3 linked regions of the Ovis aries genome follow. The protein of the gene in region 3 purifies or fractionates together with the protein of the main gene of each other region. This does not show direct contact. Links are inferred from orthologs where the notes say so. Each region holds a gene or a part of one and is shown on either strand. Other genes may lie near its edges.

What was found.
Region 1: the proteins of XIAP (region 3) and SIVA1 purify together in Homo sapiens (affinity purification with western blotting; 3 studies listed by BioGRID). This does not show direct contact. The link is inferred for Ovis aries from reciprocal best matches to the Homo sapiens genes XIAP and SIVA1.
Region 2: the proteins of XIAP (region 3) and XAF1 purify together in Homo sapiens (affinity purification with western blotting; 5 studies listed by BioGRID). This does not show direct contact. The link is inferred for Ovis aries from reciprocal best matches to the Homo sapiens genes XIAP and XAF1.

Annotation. Positions count from the first base shown.
Region 1 is NC_056071.1:66,950,870-66,954,923, reverse strand, and holds the start of SIVA1 (apoptosis regulatory protein Siva), read right to left. Parts: upstream 2,818-4,054; 5' UTR 2,774-2,817; coding exon 2,656-2,773; intron 583-2,655; coding exon 388-582; intron 1-387. UniProt on the Homo sapiens protein: Induces CD27-mediated apoptosis. Inhibits BCL2L1 isoform Bcl-x(L) anti-apoptotic activity. Inhibits activation of NF-kappa-B and promotes T-cell receptor-mediated apoptosis.
Region 2 is NC_056064.1:25,036,298-25,040,417, reverse strand, and holds the start of XAF1 (XIAP-associated factor 1), read left to right. Parts: upstream 1-1,290; 5' UTR 1,291-1,309; coding exon 1,310-1,341; intron 1,342-3,387; coding exon 3,388-3,523; intron 3,524-4,120. UniProt on the Homo sapiens protein: Seems to function as a negative regulator of members of the IAP (inhibitor of apoptosis protein) family. Inhibits anti-caspase activity of BIRC4. Induces cleavage and inactivation of BIRC4 independent of caspase activation.
Region 3 is NC_056080.1:107,806,128-107,810,148, reverse strand, and holds the start of XIAP (E3 ubiquitin-protein ligase XIAP), read right to left. Parts: upstream 2,814-4,021; 5' UTR 2,592-2,813; intron 1-2,591.

The sequences.
Region 1 (4,054 bases), on a different chromosome or scaffold from region 3:
CTCACAGCTGCGTCTCCAAGTGTGGCCCCCGTGTACTGGCTTAACACAGGGCTTCCTGGGCCCCCAGGGGTGGGGGTTTAGCTGTGACGCACGTGACGGTCTGAGTCTACAGCACAGTGCAGAGGGATGCGGATGAGAGCTCCAGGTGGGAGCAGGCAGGACGCCCACGAGGGCCACCCGGGGGGGGCCCGCTCCTTTCTGACTGAACACTCAGAGCTGCTCACAGTTCCCATACATCAGAGCGGGGAGCGCCTCCTGCAGCGGGAACCTCCAGGCACTCGCCCCACTCCCGGCATCAGACTCCGGCCCAGCTCCAGGAGGAAGAGCCCCCACCCCATCCTGTCTGCAGCAGAGACCTGGGAAGCGCCTGCCGGCCGCCTTACTCACCAGCCTCGGAGGCCTGCGCTTGACTCCGGGTCAGCCGGCCGTCGGGCCCAATCAGCATCTGCCCACGCGCGGCCCGAGGGGCTTCTGTGGGGCCGGGCCTCGGGGACTCTGGCGTGTGGACAATGGCGCAGCCTTCCTCCCATGCAGGGTCCATGCAGGCCTGGGCTCCACGGAAGAGAAGCTGCGTGGTCTTCTCTGGGGAGGACAAGCATTGCCCGCTTACACCCCTGCGGTACGGAAGCCCCTGCGGGGCCGCCTGTCCCTGGAGCTGTGCGTGCTGAGCCCTCCTCTGAGCAGATTTCCAGTCACCCGGGACCAAGCTGCCCCTGGCGAGGCTGCCCTCCGGCCCGGGCTCAGCAGGCACCTCCTCCAGCCAGGTTCTGCAGCCTGCAGCCCCACCTGGGCTCCCCGTCCCGTCACTCTGCTCATTTTTCACAACGTGTGGCCTCACCTCCTCCCCAGAACCCACAAGCAGGCCTCCTCTGACAGAGGAAGCTCTGTGCTGCTGCTGCTGAGTCGCTTCAGTCGTGTCTGACTCTGTGCGACCCCACAGACGGCAGCCCGCCAGGCTCCTCCGTCCCTGGGATTCTCCAGGCAAGAACACTGGAGTGGGCTGCCATCTCCGTCTCCATTCCCTTCTGCACTGTGGATAGCCAACTAAAGCACAGCAAGAAACTCAGGGCTGAGCCTGCAACCTTTTGGCTACTGCAGAGCTGCTGGCAAAATGCACAGCCACAGCTGGCTCCTGACAAGGTACCCCAGAACTTTCCAGACCTCTGTGGGGCCTGGACATCTCCCCAGCCACGAGCAGCAGCTTTCGCAAGGTGAAATGCTAAATGCCAGCCCAGCAATGCTCTGTGGTTCTCTGCTCTGTCCCAACAGAGCTAGGGTGGAGACCTTAGAAGCTGCTGGTGCTGGGTGATATCACAGAAACACACAGCTGATAACTCACGGAAGTGATGGCAGCTTGCCACACCCAGCTCCTCCTCCTCCAGTCTCCCCGTTTGTAACAGGATGGGACTGGGCAGGGGGCAGGTCATGTGGCCAGACTAACACTTGTCTTCAAGGGCCTGTGGCCAGTTCAACATAAAGAGGCGAGAGTTTAAGACTTGGAAATCATTACACATGAGTTCACACGGGCCTCACAAGGCCCTGTCCTTCTCAGAGAATGTCCAGGGAGCCTAGCACCCCCTCCCTGATGGGCCCTGCGTGGGCCAAGCTCTGCAAATGGTCCAGGACACTGTGGTCAAGAGCTAGACTGACTTATGTGTGTGTGTTAGTCACTCAGTCGTGTCTGACTCTTTGCGACCCCATGGACTGTAGCCCACCAGGCTCCTCTGTCCATAGGATTCTCCAGGCAAGAATACTGGAGTGGGTTCCCGTGCCCTCCTCCTGGGGATCCTCCAGGGATCAAACCCAGGCCTCCAGCACTGCAGGCGGGTTCTTTACTGTCTGAGACGCCAGGGAAGCCCTCCCTTCTGTTTGCAGTGTTTTCGTTTTTGGAAGGTCCTGAGAGAGTGAGTAACAGTTGCAGTCTGGCCCAAGTACCCTAGGCTTCACTTATTTACATCACCTGCTAATCTCTCCAAAGCGATGTCAGTATTATCCATGCATTCAAAAACGTGCCTGAAGAAGTCAGAGGAGAAGGCTTAGGTCAGGGCCCTCACATTTTTCAACTGGACAGTGCAGCCGTGCAGAGCCGGACAGCACACTCCAGCGCCCCGGTTTTCGCACAGGCTGTTCCCTCTGCCGGGAAATTTCCTTCCTTTCCCTCTCTGCCTGTCTAACCCCGCAGAATCTGGCTTTGACTCTTCCTCCAGGAGACCTGACAGCCTGCAGGTGGTCCTTCGGTGACCCGTGTCTGCCCCTCTAGAGAGTCCTCCTTCGACTGGCCCCCTCAGCAGCGGCACCGCCTGGCAAGGAGGGCGCGCTCCACACAAGCCTCTCGGGTTTGAAGGGGTGCCTCTGCCGACCTTCCCACCGGGACGAGTCCCGGGAGGCGGGACCCGGAGGCCTATCGCTGGGCTGGTCAGATCAGAGCGGGTCCCTGTGAGTCCAGTATTCCCGCAGGACCGAGCCCCGACTCGGCCCCACGCAGAAGCCGTCCGTTTCGGAAGGTGCGGAAGGGGCAGGTCGTGGACGCGGGAGCATTCACGCCGTCCTTCTCGCGGATCCTAAGCCCGGTCAGGCGGCGGGGAACACGGGCACCGGCTCCAGCGGGCGCGGCCGGTGGGGACCCCCCGCCCAGCCCCGCTTCACAGCACTCACCGAAAATCTCTCGTGTGAGGCGCTCGGCGCACACGCCGCGACTCAGTTCTCTCTGGCCGACACGCACTTTGAGCTGCAGCGGGGCCGCATCCGCGAAGGGGCAGCCCCGCTTGGGCATGGCCGCGGCCCGGAGCGGCTCCGCTCGGCCGCCGCGCCTCTCTTGCCCGTGACGTCACAGCCGCGCGCCAACCCGGCGCGGAGCGGGGGGCGGGACTAATACGCGGCGCGACACAGGATAGGTCTGGGGAGAGGATGGGGCGGGACTCGTGTGCGGCGCGACGCGGGATAGGCCCAGAGCGAGGGCGGGGGCGGAGCGCTTGCTCTGGGAGGCGGGACTCAGCGGCGCGGGAAAGTCCAGAGAGAGGTCAAGGGTCAGAGCGGGCGCGCCACCAGCAGGGAAATAGGAAGGCGGTGTGATGCGAAAGCGCTGCGGGATAGGCTGGGGACTACGTGGGGGCGGGACTCGTGAGACACACGGCCCGTGATAGGCCAGAGGCGACATGGGGGCGGGACTCGTCCGAGGGGGCGAGACTCGTTTGAGGCGGCGCGAAAAAGGCGAGCGTATTGGCTGCTGTTCTGGTCTCCAAACAACTCTTTTCTTTTTAAATTTATTTTTTTAACTGAAGGATAACTGCTTTACAGAATTTTGTTGTTTTCTGTCAAACATCAGCATGAACCAGCCATAGGCATAACTCTGGAAACTCATATTTCTTCCTTTAAATCACCAGTGGTCTGAGGAGGATTCACTTTTTTGGTATCTAACTCCAGAAACATTTGGTCCTGGGGTTAGCTGATGAACAGTGCGGCGGCAGCTTCAGGCGACTAGCAGAGGGACTCAGCCGCACGTGCGCGTGTGTCCGCTCTCCCCCAGTGCCCCTCCCGTCCAGCTGGCGCCCAGCGTGGGGCAGAGTTCCATGCGCTAACTTGTCTTTATTTCTCAATTTGGAGGCGCGTCTCGCCTTCGCAAGTGGAGAGTGCCTTACACGGGGCCGTTCTGGGCCCTGCTGCGTCACTGAGCAGGGCTGAGGCAATGCTGGGCTCTGACCGAGCAGCGAGGCTCCGGCCCCACCCAGGCCTCTGCCGGCTGCCTGCCTACCTGCCCCTCATCCTGTCTGCGGGCCCGGGGCCATCCAGCAGTTCCCTCTGTAGCCCGGACTTCTGGAGACAAAGCCGACGGCCTGTCTCACGGGACACGCCCCACATGAGGCACCTCACAGCCCCGGACACTGACCCCGCCTAGAAGGAATATGGGCGGGGCCAGCCTCTGGTCCGGGTGCCCCTTCCCGCCGGGCCTGGTGGGTCTGGAAGAAACAGGTCCGGAGGGGGCTGTGGCAGCGTTTTCCCGGTCGTGTGGCTGCCGTGTGGCACTGTTCCTGTTAGCCACCTGCAGTAACTGACT
Region 2 (4,120 bases), on a different chromosome or scaffold from region 3:
TTTACAAATAAGATTCTGGGAAATAGAAATACACATTAAACCCCCTTAAAAATGTCAACATAAAGTATATAATATCTAAGCATTTCTGATGGAATTGCAACTACCTGCAAATTTTTCAATTTCTACTGAGCAATTAGATACACTGTTCTGTCATTTTTATCTAATTAATTACATCCTGCTCTCTGTGAAAAGAACACAAACAACTGTTCCATATTTATTTGATCCAATTATGCATATATAATTTTGGACACATGTTGCCTTTAGCAGAACTTGATTTCTTTGAATCTCAAATTCTGGGGTCAATTCATCCAGGCATTTATAACAGTCTGGGTCCCAGACTCCTTTCAAGTCCATGTACTCAAATGAAAGCAATTTTTCACACAGTTTCTGGGAGCACCTGGACTCCCCAAGTTCCCTAGGTCCCCTGTAGAGTCCGGGGGCAGGGGCAGTGGAAATGAGGAAACAAGCCCAGAAGCTAAAGTGACTCTTGTTGTCAGTTGGGTCCACTACCAAGATTCAAATTCCCGTCTCTTGACCCTCTGGCCATTTTAGGAGAGACAAGCCCTGGGCCTCTTGGCCTGGGGTTCAAAGCCTGATTCTGCTTCCTGTTGGCTAGCAATGTGTGCAATTTACATCAGCCCTCACTGCAGCAGTTTCTGGGTCTGAAGACTTCCCCATTCGCTTGCCCCCTTGTTAGCATTACAGCCATGTTTAATGTGATTATTTACAAGTGAGGACAGAGATGAACAGGGTAGGTGAGTGCCCTAGGCCACCAGGCTGCTACGGGATGTGGCTCCAAAGCCTGTAGTCCCCACCCTGCATCCCCAGTTCCTCCTGCTCCTGACCAGCACCAGAGTAGAATACAGGAAGTCAGGAGCCAGTCTCAAGGAGGAGCAGCCTTCAAGCTCAAGTTCAACACGGCCAACCAGCTCTCTCCTACAGAGGAAGGATCAGTGAGAGGACCAGGAGGGACAAGGAGGTCAGTGTTTTGTGGAAGAGGATGGAGTGACCCAGATGCAGTGAGGCCAGCCTGGGGGAGGGGAGGGGCTGCTGCCAGGGCGGCCTGGCCTCTGGCTCCCACCCAAGGGGTCGCAGAAACAGCCGGCGGCAGCAGCACAGGCTGAGGGAGGAGGCAGGGGCCGGGCTTCCTGGATGTCCAGTCACAGGTACTGGGCAGCAGCCCTGGGCTGAGGAATCTGAAAACGCCTCCCTTCCTAGGCTGTGGGCCCCGTTGCCAGAACACTTTCAGTTTCGTTTCTCTGCCTGCAAGAACTGAAACTTGAAACCGACAGACTCCGGAGACCAGAACATGGAGGGAGCCTTCCAGGTGTGCAGGAACTGGTAAGAAGTCACTTTCCCTGGTGGCCGACCTGAGGCTGGCTGGTGAGAGGGGCAGAGAGGATAAGCCTGTTTCTAAAGTGAAGAGGAAAGGGTCTGTGTGCCCAGGAAGGCCAGGGTGGGCCCCTGCGGTAGGAAGGGGTAAACTGAGGAGATGCCAGTGAGGGAGGCTCAGGGTTGGCAGACATCCCTGAACCCCGCCCCACCTCCAGGTACTGAAGACTTTCTGGGACAGTTCTACAGCCAAACAGCCAGGCTACCCATCCCTGCTGGACTACTCCTATTTTTCTGACCTTGGGTCCTAATTTGTATGCTGTTCATACCAGTCTTTGAAAGAAAGAGGCTCAGGCAGATTGTCTGGGATCATTCCCACTCCCACCTTTGGAGGGAGCTGTGGAGCAGGGTGAGGGGATAGAGCAGAGGTCCCAGACCACACCTCTAAATCATGGGGACCCAACCCCTTGAGGCACCTCACTCTCGAAGCTCCCTACCTGTGACAGGAACCAGGGGGATCCTTCCCCAAGGCCTTTCTCCAGCCAAACCCTCCTAGCTGTCTGGTGTTTGCACCAGCTCAGGAAAAAAGCTGAGGTGCCAGGCCAGGCAGAGGAGTACGAAGAGAGGAAGGGAGATTTTCCTGGTGGTCCAGTGATTAAGAGTCCATGCTTCCCAGAGTAGAAGAGTTTTGTATACATATATATAAGTAATATAATATATATTATGTATTATTTATATAATTATATTTATTATGTATTTATAAAGAAATATATAATGTATTTATATTTATTATATAATATTAAGTATAATTTATATGCATTAGATATGTATAATATATGTATTAGTATAATATAGTATATATATGTATGTATAGTATATAGGGTATATATGTATTAGAAAACTTACAAGTTTTTGCCTGACTAAAATGTGACATTTTGATTCCACTTGCTTGACTTAGTATAAATAGAATGCTATTTCTAATTTTAAAAAATAGATAAGCAACAAAGGCTTACTGTATAGCACAGGGAACTATAGTCAATATCTTGTAATAACCTATAATGGAAAATAATCTGAAAATAATATATATATTGGGTTTCCCTGGTGTCTCAGACAGTAAAGAATCTGCCTGGCCATGCAAAAGAGACGGGTTTGATCCCTGAGTCGGGAAGATCCCCTGGAGAAGGGAATGGCAACCCACTCCAATATTCTTGCCTGAGAAATCCCGTGGGCAGAGGAACCTGGGGGGCTACTGTCCATGGGGTCGCAAAGAGTCAGACACAGCTGAGCAACTAAACCTCAGCCTTCCACATTGCAGGCAGATTCTTTACCATCTGAGCCACCAGGGAAGCCCAGGTTAGAAGTCAAAAACACAGTCATATGCTTTTGACACAAAGGATCATAAATCAGAATGACATACTGGCGTTTTACAAAAAGTTCACCAAGGATACCTGCCTAGTCCAGGTGAGCACGCAGAGTACTGAGTAAGCAGTGAGTCACTGTGACTGAGCACAGAGCTGAGAAAAAACACTATTCTTTTCATTTATATTCCTGGCATCAGAAGAAAGAGAAAAAGAAACGGTTGAGTAGGCTCTTCCATCGATGAGGGGCTCTGGTTAATGTGTAGGACAAATGCACAATGTACATGAGCAAGGGAGGAGCCCCAAACACACCGAGAGTTTTATCTTTAAATTGTTCTTGTCCTGCCTTAAAATATAAATTTTATTTCATCAGTCACAATCAAGACAATGAAACTATTCATTACCTCCCAAAGGTTTCTCTTGTCCCTTTGTAATTGCTCCCTCCTGCTCCTTCTTACCCACCGTGCTCACCCTGGGCAGCATAAGAGCTTTGCAGAGCATCCTTACCATTACGTCATGATTCAGCATTGTTCTGATTTGAGATCAACATGGAGAAGGCGAGGCAGGTGGTCTCATCATCATATTTTCAGTGCTTGCGGCCTTGGAAGATCTTCATCCAGGAGCCCCGGGCATAAAATATGGCTCCATGCTTTATGCCATGAAATAAACCTGCTTTTCCTCCTTCTTGATCCTGCAGCAAAAGAAAGGTGGCCTCCAACCACCTGGCCCTCCATGAGGCCCACTGTCTGATGTTTCTGGTCCTCTGCCCGGAGTGCAAGGAACCCGTCTTGCAGCATGAGATGGAAGAACACCGCCAGGGCGGGCACCAGCAGGTGGGGAGGCAGATTGGGGGATGGAGGTGGAGGGGCAGGGTCCTCTCTGCAGCCCGTCTCATGGCTGCCTGCCGTGGGCAAGTCCCTCAGCCCCAGCGCCCAGCCCCCTGTGCAAAGTGGAAAGGGTAGATAATCCTGCCCTTCCTGCACTGCCACCTGGGCTTCCCTGGTGGCCCAGATGGTAAAGAAACTACCTGCAATGCAGGAGACCTGGGTTCCATCCCTGGGTCAGGAAGATTCAAGGGAATGGCAACTCACTCCAGTATTCTGGCCTGGAAAATCCCATGGACAGAGAAGCCTGGTGGATTACAGTCCATGGGGTCACAAAGAGTCGGACACGACTGAGCTACTAACACTTCTTTCCTGTACTGCATTGAGTAGACCCTGGTTTCCCATTCCCAATCCTTTCCCTACAGGTGTATGAGGTTGGCCAAGCCTAGGGGTCCCTGTTTTGGGAAAAGTAAAATGTTCTTTTGAGATGTGTCAAGAGGAGAGACAGGAAAGGGGAGCTTGGAAGGCAGTCACGGCCAAGGTTGGTCAAGCCAACCTTTCTCTCCAGCTGTTTCTGGAGCTCCTCAAGCTCAGGCATCCATCTCA
Region 3 (4,021 bases):
CACAAAGAGTCAGACACAACTGAAGTGACTTAGCATGCATGCACTCAGAACTCTACTCAATGCTCTGTGGTCACTTAAATGGGGAGGAAATCTAGAAATGAAGGGATATATGTATAACTGGTTCACTTTGCTGTACAGCAGAAACTAACACAACATTGTTAAGTAACTATGCACACACGCACGCTCAGTTCCTTCAGCCGTGTCTGACTCTTTGAGACCCCATGGACTGTAGCCCACCAGGCTCCTCTGTCCATGGGGATTCTCCAGGCAAGAATACTGGAGTGGGTTGCCATTTCCTTCTCCAGGGATCGAACCCTGACCCAGGGATCGAACCCACATCTCCTGCACTGCTGGCGGATTCATTACTGGTGAAGTCCTGTAAAGCAACTAGATGCCAATACATTTTTTTTTTTAAAGAAATAGTTTAAAGAACAGTTATAAACCCTTTTGTCGGTTCAAAACCTCTGGAGCTCCCCAGGTGAAATTTGAGATTGGCGCCTTATCCTCAGAAGCGAGGAGAGACCAAAGAGGCAGACCACCCCAGACTGGTAGGAGGAGGTTTTGTAAGTTAGGAAACTTACATAGGAGGCTCATCTTGGATGGTCCCAAAACAAACCCATCTCCACACCCACCTGCCAGAATCTTAAAAGTTTACACAGAGGCCCAAACTGGGCTCAGTCACTTATTCAGTCCAGGTGGTCTCAATACCTCACTCTCTCAGAGCTCTGGCCTTGAATCACCTCTGGCTATGGGAGCAGTTGGAGAAGGCAATGGTACCCTACTCCAGTACTCCTGCCTGGAAAATCCCATGGACGGAGGAGCCTGGTGGGCTGCAGTCCATGGGGTCACTAAGAGTCGGAGACGACTGAGCGACTTCACTTTCACTTTTCACTTTCATGCATTGGAGAAGGAAATGGCAACCCACTCCAGTGTTCTTGCCTGGAGAATCCCAGGCACAGGGGAGCTTGGTGGGCTGCCGTCCATGGGGTCGCACAGAGTTGGACACGACTGAAGCAACTTAGCAGCAGCAGCATGGGAGCAGTGGGCAGAATTCCAAGCAAGCAGGGGAGGGGATAAGAAGCCTCCCATTGCTTGTCCAATCCCAGGGTCAACTGGCAGTCATTTCCTCCTGATGACCTCCTCAAACATCTTTACCCCAGATTCACCTGTTAACTTTTTACCCCATGTGCTTTATCATTTGTATGATCTACCTTTCTCTCTATCTTTTCTCCTGAACTGTTGGGGAGAATTATATATCATTGCCCTTCACCCCTAAATACTTCAGTGCATATTTCTGAAGAGTATGGTAATATTCTCTTACTTTAACCACAATCCAATTATCAACTTCAGAAATTTACATTAATACAACACTTTATTATTTTTGGCCACTCCACACAGCTTGTGAGATCTTAGCTCTCTGACCAGGGGTTGAACCCTTGCCCCCTGCAGTGGCAGGCAGAATCCTAACCATTGGACCATGAGGGAATTTCCATGATACAACACTTTAATCTATCATCCCATATTCCAATTTTAGCAGTTGACCTAATAATGTCCTTTAAGTATTCCCTTACCCCACCCCAGTACAGGAGCCTGTCTAGGGTCAGATATTGCCTTTCGTTGTCACATGGTGGAGGAGGACATTGAGTTGTGACCACCAGTTGGCTGGTAAGCTGGTCAAGGGCTACCAGTGTCAGGATTAAGGCATCTATAGTGCCAAACTTAAGGAGACACCAGTGAGTTCCACCTGGAGGAGTTTGACAGGTGAATAGGAATGAACTTAGCAGAGAAGAGAGATGAGGTCATTTGGGACAAAGGGAACAGTGGCCAGAAAGACTAGGAAGCATGAAGAGCATGGTGAGAAGTGCGATATAATCATAGTATAAGGTATTTGTTAGGGAGGGCCTGAAGATGAGACTGATAAAGTAAGTTGAGAGCAGGTGTAAATTGCCTTAGTGTTATGAGCCTGGACTGGACTTTACCCTATAGGCAGTAAAAACGTTGAAGAGTCTTTTCACATCCCGGATTGCTTGACTCACTTGGTTATCAAATTCCATCAACTCCACTTCTACACTGGCTTCCCTTGAAGTCTCCCCCCACCCCTTGAAGGGTTTTAATCAGAGGAGTAACATGATTATAATATTTTTTAATGAGGTGAAACTGGCAACATTGTATAAACTAGACTGGCAGGATGAGTGATAAGAAAGGTGAAACCTAAGTCAGGTGAGGAGGCTAATCAAGCGAGAGGTGATAAAGAACTGAATTAACAAAACAGTAGCAGGAAGGGGAAAATGTTTATGAGATATAATTAGTTAAGACTTGGGTACTGTGAGAGGGTTTCAACCTGAAATGGAACTGGAGGATTGGAAATAGAGAATCTCAGGCATGTGTCCTCAGAAGAATGGAACTTAACCAAGAGACTGATTTCCCATAAATGCCTGACTTCCAGAGGACAGAGACTTATCTCCTGACCAACAAACATCCCTCCCCATCCTCAAGCCAGTGAACTTGCTGCTTGCGCTCTGGCTGGACATCCTCCTCTTTGCACTCCTTGCCCATAAATGGAGCCCACCCTGAACCCTCAAGGGACTCACCTGTAGCTTGATACAGCTTGCATTTCTTGAATTGCAATTTCTCTGCTATTCCCAAATAAACTAAATTTCTGGTAAACTGAGGCTGTCTCCGTTTACCTTTTTATTTACGTTGACCATGTTGATTTTATACGTAGAGTCTAGAGAAGTCCAGGATGACTTTTCAGTTTCAGGCTTGAAGGACTGGGTAAGAAGAGTTGCCATTCAAGAAGTGGGGAAAATGGTAGAAATAAGTTTGAGTGGAAAAGGAAGTACAGTTTTAGACATGAGTTCAAGCTGGCCAAAGGATATCCAATTAGAAGTTTCCATGAAAAGGTTTTGAAATAATGTCTCAGTGAAACTTGGACAGCTTCCCTTTTCTGAGTTCCTTCTGCCTTCACAATCAAGATGAAATCAGGAACTTTAGGTAAAACGTTTGTTTCACCAAGTCATGTCTGGGAGTCCCCAGGGGATATTTTTAACATCCTCACGAACCTATCTTTCAGCTGTTGTTACCTTATGGCACCCACCATCCTCCTCACTTGCCTCAGCCCTCTCATTTATATCCACTGTTCAATTAAACACCTGAAGAGTGTTTCACCTTTGCCATAGCTACGTGTCCACTGTCAAAGTATAATTTTTAGAAAACTGAAAATGTGACAAGGAGAACCTACTGTATAGCATAGAGAGCTCTACTCAGTGCTCTGTGGTGACCTAAATGGGAAGGAAATCTAAAAAAAAGGGCGGATATATGTATACATATTACTGATTCACGTTGCTGTACAGCAGAAACTAATGCAACATTGTAAAGCAGCTAAACTCTAATACAAATGTTTAAAAATATGTGACATACAAAATATAGAATAAGCCCCTATAAATATTTAATTCATTAATGAGGAGACAGCAGTATGTTAAGTTGATTCAAAGGAGAATTTTGACGTCTCTGGTGGTCCAGTGGCTAAGAATTCACTTGCTAATACAGAGGAAATGGGTTCAATCCCTGGTCTGTGAAGATCCCACATGCTGGGGCAACCAAGCCCATAAGCCACAACTACTGAAGCCTCTACACCCTAGAGCTCACGCTTTGTGTCAAGAGAAGCCACTGCACAGTAATGATGACCCAGTACAACAAATAAATAAACAAAGGAGAACTTGAAAGAAAGTGCATATAGGCACTCAAAGAAATAATTATAAAGTAAAACTATGAAGTTTGATTTCAATACAATACTGTTTAATGTCCTACAGGGAAATACAACTGTTAGCTTGGAGGCTGTCATTTCTATTTGACAGAAGCATTTGCATCTCTACAAACAGTCTGCAAGTTAATAGAGACTTCAGAGAGACTTGACTGTAATCAGTAGTAAATAGTAAGTCAAGCAAAACATATTCCTCTAGACAAATAATCTTTGGGCAGCCTGTTAGACTGTGACATGGAAAGGACATCCTTTTGCCTT